Linked DNA regions of Canis lupus familiaris. The protein of the gene in region 1 purifies or fractionates together with the protein of each later gene. This does not show direct contact. Links are inferred from orthologs where the notes say so. Each region holds a gene or a part of one and is shown in the gene's direction. Other genes may lie near its edges.

Region 1 (4,386 bases):
CCCAGGGCCTGGAGAAAACAGGGAGTGAGTGCTTGTTCCAGTCCCAGTAGAAAAGGTGGCGAGCCCCACCCAACTCAGGCCTTCAAGCCACCCAGCTGGAACCTGGCCTCCTCAGATATGCCGAACTGCTCCAGGGGGTCCTGTGTGGATGAACCAGCAGCATGAGCCGGGGCCCCAGAGGCCGCTGCCCGGCCCCCTGCCCCCTGCCCCCTGCGCACCTTGCCAGTCATCTTCTGGATCTCATTCCTGTAGAATATGAGGCTTCTCCGCATGAACTCGTAGCTGGGGGAGAAAGTGGAATGTGCTCACTCAGGCCCCCCCCTCCCCAGCCCCTGGGCAGGCCCACACCTCACCTGGCTCGACGCAGAGCCCCCATCCACTCCTGACACTGCTCCTCACTGCAGCACTCAAAGTGGTACTTCCTCTCTGGGTCCTCCATGAAGCCTGCGGAGGGAGCGGTCTGTCTGTCCCATCTCACTGCCCGCCGCCCCCTCCGAAGCCCCCCCACGGGCCTCCACCTTCCTCCAGGCCAAGACGACTCCCAGCGGCTGAGTGGACTGAATGGTGCCCCCCACACAGTAGTTCCAGTCCTAACCCTAGAGCCTGTGGCCCAGATACAGAACCCTTCAGAGTGCGGCTACTTAATAAGTCAGGGGAGAATAGGCGGCACAGGACGTCCCCGAGAACATGAAGGGGGGACACGAACACCCTAGGAGTCCTTCTGCAGAGGCAAGGGCGCTGCCAGCTGCCGGCCACCCCGGAAGCCAGGCTCGCCTGGGACAACCTCCCCGACAAGGATCCCCCGCAGGCCCAATGACGTCACTTCTCCAGCCCCAGGGCGCCCACAGCAGGGCCCGGCAGCCCAGTGCAGCACTGCCCAACAGGAGACAAGGTCCTAGAGGAGCTGCACCCCGGCAGCCCGAGGGAAGGGTGGACTTTGTCTCCGCGCAGACCCGCGGCCGGGCCGAAGGGGCAGGGCGGGCGCGGCACTCACAGATGGAGAAGCCGCTGGGCTCTTCCTGGGTGATTCTGCAGCGCTCCAGCAGCAGGGCTCCGACGGGCTGCGGGAGGGGGCGAGTGGGGACCGGCCTCGTGGGGACCCGGGCCCCCGCCCCCGCCGGACCCCAAAGCCCGCCCGGCGCGCCCCCCCCCACACCTGTCCGGGCCCCGCTCCCGGCCCCTCCCCCCGCCCCGACTCCTGTCCGGGCCCCGCCCCCGGCCCCTCCCTCCCCTCCCCCCCAGGCCCCCTCCCTTCCCGGCCCCGACACCTGTCCCGGCCCCTCCCCCGGCCCCGCCCTCCCCTCCCCCCCCCCAGGCCCCCCTCCCTCCCCGGCCCCGACACCTGTCCCGGCCCCGCCCCCCGGCCCCGCCCTCCCCTCCCCCCGCCAGGCCCCGCTCCCTTCCCGGCCCCGACACCTGTCCCGGCCCCGCCCCCGGCCCCTCCCCCGGCCCCGCCCTCCCCGCCCCCCGGGCCCCCGCTCTCTTCCCGGCCCCGACCCCCGCCCGTCGGCCTACCTCGGCCTCGTCCGTCCGGAAGTAGAAGAGGAAGTTGACCACCAGCTTCACCAGCCGCCGCTTCAGCACTGCGGGCACAGGGCGGGCTCACGCGGGCTCGGCCGCCACCCACCCCCGCCCGGCCAGCCCGCCCGCCCGCCCGCCCGGCGCTCCGGCCCGCTCACCACTGCCTTTCTTGGGGCCTCGCATGCCCAGCTCGGCCGCCAGTTCGGCCGGCTGCCGGGACAGCGCCTGCAGCTCCTTCTCGTTGTAGCGCATGGCGCTGCCAGGACCCAAAACGCGGAGCGCGGGCCGCGCCCTCCCGGCCGCCGTCCCCTCTCGCGCCAAAAAAGTCCTACAGTGCCGTCCCGGAAGCGCCGTCGCGGCCACTGCGCTTGCGCGGCCCCGAGACACGCATTGTGGTGTTGGCCGGCGCGCGGCGCTAAGCCAGGCCCGCGTGGGGGAGCACGCGATACCGGCCGACACGGACGGCCGTTATAAATAACCACGCAGTCAGCTGGATCCGAGGTGGGAACCCAGGAAGGCAGCCTCACGACCGTGGCGCCCTCTACCGACGAGCCCACGCCCGCCCTCCCGCGGAAACCGGCCCGGCGCCCGCTAGGCGTGGAGAGCCTGGTGCGCACGCGCACTCCCGAGTTCCGGCCCTTATTCCCAGCCCCGCCCCCTTTCCTCGCCCTCTCGAGCATCAGGTCCGCCTCGCCTGGCGAAGCACGCATGCGCACACGGGAAGCCCTCACCCCTCTCCCCAGACCCCACCGTTTGCCCCCGGAAGCGCTTCTGTAGCCCGCGACGCGCCTGCGCATAACGTCTTCGTGGCAGCGGCGGGCGCGGGGTGAGGAGTCGCGCGGGGTGAGGATCCGGGCTGGCCGAGCGCGGCGGTCCCGGGGCCCTGGCTTCCCCGGACGGGAGCGGCGGGGGGCGGGGGGCTCTCGGGTTCGCGGCGCCGCCGGGCCCCAGCTCCCTGGCCGCGCGCGGGGTCGGGCCCGACGAGTCCCGCCTCCTCGGAAGTGTGCGGGTCGGGTCGGGGCCCGGCGGCGCCGTGGGGTCCCTGGCGGCGGGTCGGGGGGGGGGGGGAGGCCGAGGGGGCGCCCGCGACGGGCCCGCGCCCTGGCGTCCCGGGGCTGACGTTGACTTCGGTTGTCCGCGAACGTGCGTGCTGAGAATTTAGGGTAACAAGCTCTAGACTGAGCATCCCTCTTGGGGCCCCCAGGCGGCCCAGGGCGTGACCCCGGGGTCCCGGGATCGAATCCCCCATCGGGCTCCGCGCAGGGGGCCTGCTGCTCCTCTGCCTGTGTCTGCCTCTCTCTGTGTGTCTCTCATGAATAAATACAATCTTTAAAAAAAAAAAAAAGATTTGTATTTGTTTATTAGAGAGGGGGAGGTAGAGTACAAGCAGGGGGAGGAGAGGGAGAAGCAGGCTGACTGCTGAGCGGGGAGCCCGGGACCCTGGGGTCACGACCTGAGCCACCCGCGCCTCCCGATGGTCTCTGTCCACGGGGGTCTCTGTCCTTTTTTCCGTCCGAACAATGAGATTCTCTCAAGCCCCGGGCCCGGGCTGTTTCCCTTTCTTTGGGAATGCTTTCAGATTTCTTTGAGGATGCCTTCCATGCTTCTTGCTGTTCTCGCTCTGAAATTTCATCTAAGTCCTGTTCTCTTACTTTCCCCCCTGTTTTGCGTTTCTTTGTAAAAGGTTGGTTTGACTTGTACCCGCAAGCTCTTAAGTTCAGCTGTTTCCAAAGGTCTTGGGTTTGGGTTTTAACTGCCCTTGCTAACCTTTGGTGCCGTGCTCTGCATTGGAGGTGTAGTAACTCTCACCCTGTTTTGTTTTGTTTTGTTTTAATTTTTATTTATTTATGATAGATATATATATAGAGAGAGAGGCAGAGACAAAGGCAGAGGAGAGGGAGAAGCAGGCTCCATGTGCCGGGAGCCCGACGTGAGACTCGATCCCGGGACTCCAGGATCACGCCCTGACCGCTGAGCCACCCAGGGATCCCCCCTCTCACCCTCTAATTAAGGAGGATGCTAACATTGCCTGGGGGGGTGGGGGGTGGCTAGCGGATGTGTCTGTGTTTGAGTTCCCAGACTCTAACCTAGCGAGTCTCACTGCCCAGCAGGCCTAGGAAACCAGACAGGCCTAGGTTTCTTTGGGGGTGCAGGGGACTCCCACTGTCAGTGTCTGAGAATACCGTTTCTAGCGTGCTCTCACTGTGTCCCTGGATTGGGGACCTCCAGGTGGACCCTCTGGGCAAGCTGCAGGGGCAGGGCAGGTGTTCATGGAATTCCTTCTTTACAGCCTGGCCCTCACTCCACTCCCTGGCTCTCCAACTCTCTCCCTCTGTGCCTGCCCCTCTAAGTGGAGCGGCCCTTTGTTCAGTTCTTCTGAGACTGTAAAACCTACCCAGGCAGTCGGGTGAGGGCCCCTGGGCTCCTGTAGGGGATGACCTCCCCTGGGGAGGCCAGGAACACTCTGCAGTGGGCTACAAGCAACTGGCACCTTGGGTCTCCAGTGGCTACTGCTTCCCTTTAACTTGGTGACCAGCTCAGTGTTTGCGTTCCGTCTTCCTGAGCCCGTCACTCTAAACGTGGACCCTTTTTGCAACACCCGTGTTGCCTTTGCCCCAGCCAGCCACTAGCATTTGAGGGGCTTATCTGATGGCTTAACAAGGAACTGGAATCCTCACCAGATGGGGTGGGGGGGGGGATCTCCTGGCTTTGTTAACACATTACTTTCCAAGTCAGTCTTATGGCTCTTACTGGCTCCCCACCGCTGGGTCAGTGGGGTGTTCTGGAGATGTCACTGCTAGAACAGGTGACAGGAAGTGAGGGCATGTCTCTGTCCTGGCCCCTGGGTCCCAGCCAAACTGGGGA
Region 2 (2,407 bases), on another chromosome or scaffold:
ATGAAAATGCTGTCACAACATGTGGTCCTGGTCTCTGAAATATTATAAGTTTATAAATAATTTTTTAACATGTAGATCCAGCATCTGAGTAAACCAATAGAAATACAGTGTTAAACTGATAGTATTTGAGTATATTTGTGTATGTGACACCAATTGCTTTAAAGGAAATCAGAATAATATGAGGTTTCAGTAACATGGTTAGTGACCCTGTGGCACTGACCATAATTGCTATTTGAAGTAGATGTTGGGAAAGTTAAGAGAATTCATGTTTTCTGGTCTAACTTTGTAGGAATAGAAATAAACTAGGTCTTTTGTTACCCATTTGTTCAGATATATTGGCAAAGGCTCCAATAATTGGGTATTTCTAAGATAATGCCATAATATTCATTCTAGAAAATTGTGCTTTTCTTTTACAAAATCTCACACTAAAAGCAATGGGAAAAATAGTTTGAGGCAGAGCATTCAAAACTTGTGCAACTTGGGAATTAAAGTACTAAAAACAGTAAGATTCCTTCAAAAAGCAGTTAAAAAGATGTGTTAAATTCCTAGTAACAAGGAAAATACTGCAATATATATAGGATCTTTTATTTAAAACAAGACTTACAGGGGCAGCTCCGGTGGCGCAGAGGTTTAGCGCCGCCTGCAGCCCTGGGTGTGATCCTGGAGACCTGGGATCGAGTCCCATGTCGCGCTTCCTGCATAGAGCCTGCTTCTTCCTCTGCCTCTCTCTCTTTGAATAAATAAATAAATCTTTAAAAATAAAAAATAAAACAAGACTTAACAGCTTGGTGACATGGGGAATAAGGAAGTTATGGAGATAGTGAGAACGCCCTGAGATGAGAATACCTGGGCACAGTGGGAATGAGTCAGGTATCACTCAGGGTTCCTCCGTGGCTTGCTGCATTCACATCTGTAAGCATACCTAATCATGCAAAACATTAATGTACTAGAGATAATCTCCGAAGAAAGGATTTTTGGTTTATATTGACATTATTCACCCATTAACCAGTTGTACTAAATTGTGTCCTAGAGTCTTACAGAATAGGCAGTGTCCTAGAGTGTAGCAGAATGGGCAGTATTCTTTTGTATTGTGTTATTTACTTCGGCTTGATAGATTTACTGGTTGCCTTCTTTATCATGCTAATAAGCTCTCTCTTTTTTCCCCTGTAGGTGTAGATGTCAGCATGAATACACATCTTAAAGCTGTGAAAATGACTTTGAAGAATAGAGAACCAGTACAGCTGGAAACACTGAGTATTCGAGGAAATAACATTCGATATTTCATTCTACCAGACAGCTTACCTCTGGATACACTACTTGTGGATGTTGAACCAAAGGTGAAATCTAAGAAAAGGGAAGCTGGTAAGTTTGAAGGATTATAAACATTATTTTTTAAAGATTTTATTTATTCATGAGAGACACACAGATAGAGGCAGAGACATACTCAAGATTTTTCAGGTTTTTATATTCCAGTTAGTAAACATACAATGTTATATTAGTTTCAGGTGTACAACATAGTGATTCAACAGTTTGATATGTGGCGAATGTACTCTTTAACCCCCATCACCTATTTCACCCATCTCCCCATCCCCCTCCTCTCTAGTAACCATCAGTTTGTTCTCTTACATAGTTAAGAGTTTGTTTCTTGATTGACTGATCTTTCTCTTTCCCAAATTTGCTCTCTTTGATCTTTATGTTGTAGGCTTGACTTGAATATCTTGTACTTTGACCATTTATTTAAATAATAGAATCCTAGGAAGAGAAGTTCTGGGAGGGGAGGCTGGACCCATAAGCTTGAGTCTCACTGTAGGGTGGTTCAGAAGTGAGTTAGCCTCTTCACTGAGGAAACCCAAAATTTCAGGATCTAGAGTCATTTCTGAAGCTTTGCACTCCCCACCCCTCCCACAAAAAGATTCTGCTCATCTATTGTAGGAGATAATGCCTAGCAGCCAGCATTATAGGAGTAGAGCAGGAGAAAGGGCTGGGTGTTTTGTAGACAGTCACTTAATACATTGATTTTGAGACTTTTATGCCCTCTTTCCACTAAGAAATATACTTTGTTGGGATCCCTGGGTGGCGCAGCGGTTTGGCGCCTGCCTTTGGCCCAGGGCGCGATCCTGGAGACCCGGGATCGAATCCCATGTCGGGCTCCCGGTGCATGGAGCCTGCTTCTCCCTCTGCCTGTGTCTCTGCTTCTCTCTCTCTCTCTCTCTGTGACTATCATGAATAAATAAAATCTTAAAAAAAAAAAAAAAAGAAAAAAAAAAAAGAAATATACTTTGCATCATGGCCCATTCATGCATATAACCAAAACAAAAATCTCAGGAAGAATTAGTCTTAATACTTGCAAATGTCTATATGTTTTCTATGCTCTTTTAGTTAAGAAAAAAAAAATTTAGGTTGCAAC

The links. The genes of interacting proteins can lie anywhere in the genome.
Region 2: the proteins of SF3A2 (region 1) and SNRPD1 purify together in Homo sapiens (affinity purification with mass spectrometry; 4 studies listed by BioGRID and IntAct, with this or other methods). This does not show direct contact. The link is inferred for Canis lupus familiaris from reciprocal best matches to the Homo sapiens genes SF3A2 and SNRPD1.

Annotation. Positions count from the first base shown.
Region 1 is NC_049241.1:57,268,148-57,272,533, reverse strand, and holds the start of SF3A2 (splicing factor 3A subunit 2), read left to right. Parts: upstream 1-1,583; 5' UTR 1,584-1,679; coding exon of another isoform or gene 1,680-1,773; 5' UTR 1,774-2,022; exon of another isoform or gene 2,023-2,130; intron 2,131-2,197; exon of another isoform or gene 2,198-2,364; intron 2,365-2,580; exon of another isoform or gene 2,581-2,684; intron 2,685-4,386. Other genes in the region: PLEKHJ1 (pleckstrin homology domain-containing family J member 1), read right to left, coding at 75-140, 219-282, 354-444, 995-1,061, 1,516-1,583, 1,680-1,773. UniProt on the Homo sapiens protein: Component of the 17S U2 SnRNP complex of the spliceosome, a large ribonucleoprotein complex that removes introns from transcribed pre-mRNAs.
Region 2 is NC_049228.1:66,463,550-66,465,956, reverse strand, and holds part of SNRPD1 (small nuclear ribonucleoprotein Sm D1), read left to right. Parts: intron 1-1,170; coding exon 1,171-1,362; intron 1,363-2,407. UniProt on the Homo sapiens protein: Plays a role in pre-mRNA splicing as a core component of the spliceosomal U1, U2, U4 and U5 small nuclear ribonucleoproteins (snRNPs), the building blocks of the spliceosome.